2 linked regions of the Mus musculus genome follow. The protein of the gene in region 1 purifies or fractionates together with the protein of each later gene. This does not show direct contact. Links are inferred from orthologs where the notes say so. Each region holds a gene or a part of one and is shown in the gene's direction. Other genes may lie near its edges. The genes, in order: Chtop and Erh.

What was found.
Region 2: the proteins of Chtop (region 1) and Erh purify together in Homo sapiens (affinity purification with mass spectrometry; 3 studies listed by BioGRID and IntAct, with this or other methods). This does not show direct contact. The link is inferred for Mus musculus from reciprocal best matches to the Homo sapiens genes CHTOP and ERH.

What each region holds. Positions count from the first base shown.
Region 1 is NC_000069.6:90,506,514-90,510,811, reverse strand, and holds the start of Chtop (chromatin target of PRMT1 protein), read left to right. Parts: upstream 1-1,313; 5' UTR 1,314-1,621; intron 1,622-3,185; 5' UTR 3,186-3,202; coding exon 3,203-3,267; exon of another isoform or gene 3,268-4,298. UniProt on the Homo sapiens protein: Plays an important role in the ligand-dependent activation of estrogen receptor target genes. May play a role in the silencing of fetal globin genes.
Region 2 is NC_000078.6:80,641,168-80,645,673, reverse strand, and holds the start of Erh (enhancer of rudimentary homolog), read left to right. Parts: upstream 1-1,562; 5' UTR 1,563-1,907; coding exon 1,908-1,910; intron 1,911-2,008; exon of another isoform or gene 2,009-2,139; coding exon of another isoform or gene 2,140-2,208; intron 2,209-2,828; coding exon of another isoform or gene 2,829-2,885; intron 2,886-4,506. Other genes in the region: Slc39a9 (zinc transporter ZIP9), read right to left, coding at 698-793. UniProt on the Homo sapiens protein: May have a role in the cell cycle.

The sequences.
Region 1 (4,298 bases):
ATTTTGAGTTCCAAGCCAGCCCATACTACATAGCCAGAAACAGAAATAAACAAGCCATCAAAAAATGTGGGGCTGGTGAGATGGCTGAGTGGGTAAGAGTACCTGACTGCTCTTCCAAAGGTCCGGAGTTCAAATCCCAGCAACCACATGGTGGCTCACAACCATCCGTAACGAGATCTGGTGCCCTCTTCTAGTGTGTCTGAAGACATCTACAGTGTACTTACATATAATAAATAAATAAATCTTTTTTAAAAAATCTGAAGAAAGCTAGAAATGGTGGCACGTACCATAGTTAACACCAGCTCAGCACCTGGGACGTAAAAGGCAGGAGGATCTCTGTGAGTCCAAGCCCAGCCTGGTCTGTATAGAGAATTCTAGAACAGCCAGAACTACATTATAGAGACTCTGTCTCAAAAAAACTACCAGAGGCAGTGGTGACACACGCCTTTAATCCCAGCACTCGGGAGGCAGAGGCAGGCAGATTTCTGAGTTCAAGGCCAGCCTGGTCAACAGAGTGAGTTCCAGGACATCCAAGGCTACACAGAGAAACCCTGTCTCGGAAAAAAAAAAAAAAAAAAAAACAACAACAAAAAAACAAAACCAGAAAACAAAACCAAAAAACTACTAGAAGAACTTTTTCCCAAGCTTCATTCAGTGTTTATTGATGCCTCATCATTGCTAGACATTATGTAAGAACTAGGGATACATAAGTGGGGATACAGATTTGCTTTATTGGATTACTTGAGGTAAAAAGACCCACCCTAAAACTAGCCACATCTTCTAGAGGCAGTCCCTATAAAAGGATGTAGATGAGTCCAGTGTGGGTCTTAAATCCCAGTACTGGGAGGGGCGGGGTTAGGGGGGGTCAGGAGGTGGATCTTTGTGAGTTCGAAGCCAGTCTGGTCTACACAAAGGAAGCCTGCCTCAAAAAGAAACAGAAACTCTACAAATAGGTTTGAGGGCCTGAGCAAATTAGCCAGGTCTCAAGGTCCTAATAAAGACTTTTTACAGTTGTCTTTAGCTTGGGAATGGGAAATAAAAGGATACAAACACTGTTGCCAATCTAAGCTGCTATTTGCAAGCCAAAAATCCCACCAAAGTGGGGCATAAACTTGTCCAGAAGGTAGTCTAGAGGTACTTAGCGATTACGGCCACTGGCCACGCCCCCGAAGGCGGAGCACTACACGTAACTTAAGGGATCTTTGCCAAAGTCAGTGGGGATTCGCTGCGATTCTTGCGCTAGGCCAAAGGACCATGTTGCCACGCCCCTAGTTGCGCGCGCACTGACGCAAGCCCGTCGGCGCCATTTTAGCCGGTCACGCTGCACTGGTGGGCCCGGCGGCCATTTTGTTTTGGACACCAAGCGGGAGTTGGCGGCGCCGGCTCTGGGGGCCCAGACGAAAGGCAGGAAAGGGCAGGCTTGACGAGCGGGAGGATCGGTCAGCTAGATACTCAACCCACAACGAGGAAGCCTCACATCCTACCGTTTAAGCATCTAAGCCAACCGCCCAGCTAGTTAACCCGAGCGGCCCGCCGTCAGCTCAGGTTAGGCCGGCCTCCGGGCCGCCCGCCGCAGCCGTGGTGGCAACCCCGGGAGGAGCGCTGGCGTCCATCTCCTTCGGTGAGTTTCTGTGGAGAGGGCAGAGGTGGAGGGGCGCGGGGTCCGGGGCCCGGTGGCGTGGGTGGCAGGTGTGGACCGGGCTGAGGTGCGCAGAGGCCGGGGAGGGGGCGGAGCCGGGAGGCGGAGGCTAAGCCGGAACCGCGGCCAGCGAGCTGGGCCGCTAGCCGTGCGGGTGCTGCTTGTGGTTGGCGTGTCTGGTGCAGGTGCTGGTGCTGGTGGTGCTGGTCGTAGTGGTTTGGCCTCAAATCCAGTGTCTTGCTTACCTAGATAAGCGTCCTCCATCGGAGCCAAAGCCTCGCCCCAGAATAGCGTTTGATGGGGATAACCACGGAAATAGTCGCCTGATCAAAGTTGGAGTCCTGAGAGGCTTCGAGGTGGAGGTCAAATGAGGAGTACAGGAATTAGCGGCGGCTCTGGGTGTTCGATTTTGATTCTTTTTTTTTTTTTTTTTTTTTTTTTTGCGGCACCGAAGTTGAACCCAAAATCGTACTTTGGCTAAACTAGCGCCCCGAGTTAACATCTCCAGCTTTAAAAATAATAATAATCTTAGTTTGAAACAGGGTCTGTCAAATCACCCGGGCTCGCCTTGAGCTTGTGACCCCCTTGCCTCAGCCCCTCCCCAGTATATGCCACTACAGTTAAAATATTGTGGTGTGCTCTTAACAGAGCTCTCAGATTGAATACCCATTTAGAAAACCTCTTCTGTCTTTCCCCTGCCATGTCTAACTAGAGCTCCACCTGCATTTGGAGTTGAGAATCGATTTTGAAACTAGGCTTTTCTTTTTATTTTGGGTGTATGAGAGTCCGGTCCTCACAGTGTGACAATGTAACCCGTTACAGCCTCAGACTGTTACACCACTCCCCTGTTGCTGCTGGGAATTGAACTTCCCAGGGCTTCATCAGTGCTAAACAAGCACTCTACTGAGGAGCTATATTCCCAGCTCCTCCATTTCTCTAGATCCATGACCCTCAACTTTCTATAGACATGTAAGATGTACCTGGGTAGCACCCCCAATCCCAGTTGCTGTACCCCATCCTCATGGCCAGATTGTACTTTAATTGGTCTGGATCCAGGCATCAAGAATTTAGTTTAGTTTGGGAGGGACTTTTTCTTTTTTTTTTTTTTTTCAAACATTCCTCAGCTAAGTCACATACAGTCCAGGCTGAGAAGAACTATTGAAAGCCAAACTCCTAGGCTTTGGCTACATCTCATTCTGCTATTTTGGAGACTTTGGCAGATGTTCTCCATCCTGGAGCTTTGAAATTTTTATAACTATTGTATGGACGTAAGCCCCCACCTCACAGGGTTTCTCTTAGGTAGCCGTGGCTGTCCTGGAACTTGCTATGTAGACCTGGCTAGCCTCGAACTCAAAGGGAGCCACCTACCTCTGCTTCAGGAATGCTGTGACTAAAAGTGCACCACCACCACCACCTGGCAAACTTAAGATCTCATGATACCATCTTCAGAGTTAAAAATATAGGCCTTTAACAGATTTATGCCTTGCTTCTTGTGAAAATGCAAGCTTCATTATTTTGATTGACTCATGCATATTGTCCTTTGTAGATTCTCGGGATTTGAAGATGGCTGCACAGTCAGCGCCGAAAGTTGTGCTAAAAAGCACCACCAAGATGTCTCTAAATGAGCGGTGAGGCAGCCAACAGCAACTTCAGCTCCTTCCTAAGAAAACATTACTTAAATTGACCCTGGGGTCCAATACAAAAAAAGCCAGTTGTAAGCTAAATGACAGAAGGCTACAGACCTCTGTTCTTAATTGCATCTAATGTGGTACAAAACAAATTGGGCAGTTGTTTCAAAACCCCTTATCAGTAGATTTTTATATTAAGCTATCTGAAATATTTACCTGGTGGGATATATTTTTTAAAAGACTCCTCACACCCTCCCTTCAATTTTTTTTCCTAACATTGATACAGGGGTGGTGCAGCATGATGGTATGGTATATCCTGGCTGCAAGAGGCTTGCTGCCTAGTCCGAGGCCAGCAGTGTTGTGTCTGGCCTGTAAGAGGCAGGTAGCAAGCCGAGACTATGTCCAAAGGCCCCTGAATGGCATTCTTGGGCCTTGTAAGAGGCACTTGCTTTGCTCCATTTCACTTTCTTCCCATTCTGCTTTTTAGTTTGTTTTGTTTTGAAATCTTTCATCAGCTGTGTGTTTACTTCTATTAAACTTAATCATAACAGGAATGATAGAATAATGTCCTCTTAGGCTCTTAAGCGACTTAACTAATTTAACTTTCTCAGAAGTCCTGAGTCAGAAAGAGTGGTTATTTGTATTTAAAGGCAGTTTTTGTTTCTGAGAATTTCATTTATTTGGTGTCTTTCACCATTTTATTATGTTGTTGCTAGAACTCCCAAGGCATTTAATTTAGTGCCTGTGTTTGCTTCAGAAGCACATGTGCTTCTCTGTTCATCTTTTAAGATGTGATACATTAATTTCCTGTATTCATGTGTTACTAAGTAACATGTTAGAATGTAATAAACTCCCATAACTCATGAGTCTGTTATTTCAGTGGACTTTGAAGGTGCTCTGATCCTTCCTCCTGTTTGTCCTTTGAATGAACTTTCACTCTCCAAAAGTGTCGGCATTTCTGTTTGTCTTTGTAACTGCATCTCTGTTTCTTGTCATCATATTTGCTTACTGCGTGTATTTCATGCTTTCCA
Region 2 (4,506 bases), on another chromosome or scaffold:
TCTCCCCCCCCCATAACCTCTGCTTAGTGGATGACAACCTAACAAATAACCCAAAGTGCATCCTGCATTGCAGACTAGGTTTGGCCTCAAACTCAAGAGATCTATCGCCTCTGCCTCCCCAGAGCTGGGATTAAAGGCGTGCAAAAAGTTTATCTCTAAACAAAGAGATTTGAAAATAATCTCAGAATATCCATTCCAGCCCTTGGCTTCTTTGAAAGGAAATGATAATAACAACCTACTGTAGCTTTTTTCTCTCACACTGATTGTAGTGCTGACATCCTAAGCTTTTCTCCAAAAACATTCATGATTTTTCTCAGAAATTGTTATACTGATTTCACCTCAGTGAAATAGTAAGTCTCCATTTGGTTTTATCTGATATCTTGATTTCTTGAAACCTCCAGGAATCATCAGAAATGTAACTGTGGTTCCTGTCTCTTGAAAAATGCAGAGCCCCAACTTTTGGTGGTCGTGGGGGTATATAATTTTCAGAGGATTCTGAACACTCCAGGTTCTCCAGTGTATCATCTATCTACCATTCTTGGTTAAGATGTATACGGTTGAACACAAGCTTTGTTTCTACTGTGAAATGTTACATCTTTTCCTTAATGAGACCTTAGAGCTGAGAAACAGCTTCTTTGCAAATATAGCTAGGTCTAGCATCATCCTAACGCTTGGCAGACAATGGAGAACGTCTTACCTCTGAGAAATTAACAGCCAAAGGAATGATTCCGGCCACGTAACATCCCACCAACATTGCCACAGACAGCAGACTAATGGAGAGAAAGTCATCCATTCTGCCCTCCCGTAGTCACCCTCTACCACCAGGCTTTAAGATTCCAGCAGTTTCGAAAGGCGCTTAGGCTGTTTAAACGCGTGGTCTTCCAAGCAAACGGGAATTTGCCCACTTCTTTCAGCCTTGCCACCAGCCGGGGTGTTCTCGAAGCACGCCACTCTCTTAAGAAGCAAGCTCCTTCTGCTGACTCTAGCACCAGAGAAAACTTCGCGCAATCTTAGGTACTCGGTTGCCAGCCACTGAGATTCCGGTCGGTCACAGATGGAGAAATTGTGCTGAAAGAGACCTCAATCGTCGGAATGAGAGTGTCACGACGACCCGCTCCTAGACAAGGCCCCTGGTAGCAGTAGGAAAGAGGGGTAAAGCCAAGTGTCTTCTTCGCACGCTGTACCTGTTCCTAGGGGTGGCACCGCAGGTGATACGCCCCCAGGGAAGGGACCAGCCCACCAGTCCCAGCAAACTACCTTCCGAGTCTAGAGTCGGGCAAGATGTCCTGCAAGTCTCTCACTTGGGTCGGAGGATTCAACAGCAAAGTCGACACGATGCTGTCTCTGCCCTACACCCGGTGCTACCCATGGTACTTCCCTCAGCCAGGCCCTGACCCTGAGTCGCCAATACTACAGCTGCCATGGCCGCCAAGTGGCACCTCTTCATTACTCCCACTTCCGGATTGTCTCACAGCCTCCTCTTTAGCAGGGCACTTCCGGGTTACAACCGACCTATCGGCCAGGTCCTTATATTGCCGCCATTTTTTTAGAAAGGCTTAAAAAAAAGACGACTGGTGTCGCTGTTGTATTCCCCATCACTTTAGCCGCCTGTCAGTTAATTAGAGTACAGAAGGCAGAATCCCGAAACGAACTCTTCTTCCTAAAGCGGAGAAAGAGTCTCTTACCCATCCCGGCGCCCTTAACCAAGATGGCTGAAACAGCGTCAGTATCCACTCTAGAAACCAGAAACGTGTGTCTCTCTATGGTCTGAAAGATTCCTTTTGCGTCGCGCTTTCGACGACTTCCGGCGGCGGCTCTCGCGGGATTGGCTGTTGGCGGCGTTGCGGCTGAGCTCGTGTGCGGCAGCAGAGGTGTTAGCGGCGGCTGCAGCAAGAGCGTTTGGCGCGATGGTGAGTCCTTAGCGGTTGCCGGGGTCCCCAACTTAGAGGGCCACCCCTGCTCGGTACATCTTCCCATCCTTCCCGCCCCTGCCCTTCTAGCGCGAGCGAGGGAGCTGCTCCCCGCCCCCTTCCCCCCGGCTCGCGGGTGGACCCTTCCCCTTCCCGGCGCTGAGCCGCGGGGCCTGCCCGTAGGCCCCGGACCTGATCCTCCTCCCTGCGGCTGCGCGCCTCCCGCCTGATGGTGGGGGGCGAGGTATGCGGTGGGCAGACGATGCCCTCCCTGCCGATCGCTGCCTGGAAGAGGGAGGTGTGGGGTGCCGTTCATTTCTCATCAGATGCACTAGCCGACTGTAGGAACAATGGCCGGGGAACGTGTTAGACGTTTCCTGAAACTGACACACCCGTCACCTTACGGTTCTCCGTAGGTCGGCCTTAGGGGGTCGGATTGGCTTTACAGTGTGCTGCCTCAGCCTGCCCCCTAACCCCCGAACTTCAAAAAAGAAAGTATTTTTCCTTTTTCAGTATCCTTAGTTGCCCTGTTTTGCCAATTTTGTCAGCCTTCGATCTTGTTCTTTCTTATATTCTCCTGGGAGTGGAGCCTGAAAAGAGACTCCAGGGTCCTGGTCCCAAAATCCGGCAGGGAAGGTTTTTGTTTTATTTGTTAAGTTGTGTGTCTGTGCTTGCACGTGAGTACAGGAGCCCTCAGAGGCCAGAAGAGGGAATGAGATCCCCTGGGTCTGGAGTTAGAACAGGCGGTTGTGAGCGGAGGATGTGGGTGCTAGGAACCAAACTCATGCCTTCTGTAAGAGTAGCACGTGCTCTTAACCACTGAGCCATCAACACTCTGGTTGTTGTTTTGCTTTTGGGGATCTTCCTTTTCGGTGTGTGGTGATTTGCCTGCATGTCTTGTGTGCCACTTGCATGCAGTGCCTGCGACAGACAGAAGAGGGCGTCCGATCCCCAGGATTGGAATTACCTGTGATGGTAAGCGACCGTGCGAGTGCAGGGAATTGAAAACCAGTCCCTTGGAAGAGCAGCTCGTGGGCTTAACCACTGAGCCATGTCTCCAGTACTTATGCCCTCTTATTTTTAAGTAAACAAAAGGGAAATATTTGGAGCAGGTGTGTTTATAGTTTTCAAATATTATTTCAAGTTATTCCTTAATTTGCCTAAAATTTTTAAAAATGTGGCAAAGAATGAATAGCTTGTCTAGGATGAGCCATTACAAAAATGCAAATAGGCTTTCATGAGACTAATTTTCTCAACAACAAAAGTACCATTTGAGTAGCTGGCCTTTTATGAGCCCCTACACAACACATCCTGCTTTCTCTGGCTATTAATAACAAACAAAACACTGTTCACATGACTACAGGTTTCTTTTGTTACCAACTTAGAGTTTTCTCTCAAGTCTTCTCAAACTTAATTAAAGACACAGATCTTGCTGGGGATGGAGAAATAATAATGCTCTTGCTGTAAGAAATTTAAAGTGCTTTTATTTCTGTTTTTATCCAGAAAGCCTAAATCTTAGAAACTCAGTTCAGTTTGTTGATAATTAAATTTTTGGATTATCTCAAAATAGTTTGGGCATCCTGACATGAGAATTTGTTTTTTAATCAGAAACTAGTGTTGCAAGTGAAGAAAATAAGGGGAATAATTTGGCTGAGAATTGGGCTTGCAGTGGAGTTGCATCATGCTAGCATTTGTTTAATTAATTAATCTTGTTTTGTTTTTCGAGACAGGGTTTCTCTGTATAGTCCTGGCTGTCCTGGAACTCACTCTGTAGATCAGGCCAACCTCAAACTCAGAAATCCGCCTGCCTCTGCCTCCCAAGTGCTGGGATTAAAGGCATGCACCACTACTACCCGGCTAATTAATCATTCTTAAATGCACGAGAGACACTATATAAGACTATGCTGGTCAGGATGTCTGCTTCACTTATTTAAAGATATTTTTGGGTTTTGCTTCTTTGAAGAGAGTTGGTGTTAGTGAGATCTAGTGAGTGGAGACCAAAGGTGCCACAAAACATCCTATAGGCTCAGGACAAACCCAAAGAATTCATTTCTGTCCCCAAATATAGTGAGAACTCTGAAGCTGACTCGGCTCCCCAGTGAGCAAGAGAGGAAGGCTTTCAGTGAAGTCCTGCTCCTCTGGTACAATCAAAGATTTTGTACATTCAAAGATAAATTATTTGGGTATGAGCTGGCCCCTTAAGGCAAGTTATCTAGACGAATAGTTCCATAAATAACTTTAGTGTGGTGTTCACTATATACATTTTATATTGTTACTTTATCTTACACCTTGATGTGGGAGGTAACTCCTGTATAAAATGTGGTTCCGCTGTTGTGCTCAAGTCAGGAAAGACCTTAGGTTGATACAGTGATTATAGTATTTCCTGTTCTCCTTTAACTACTCCATGTCTTAGTTTTTATTGAGTTAAGAGAGCTAGAGGCTAGTGGAGTCAGAAAACGGGTTCTAAAGGTTAATAAGAAAAAATGCAGGAGCGGGTATATTTGGAGTTTGAGAAATGATCCAGAGGGTAAGGGGCTGACTTAGTTAAGGGAGTTGTGAGCCCAGCACTGATAGGGAAACATGAACTGCGGATGAG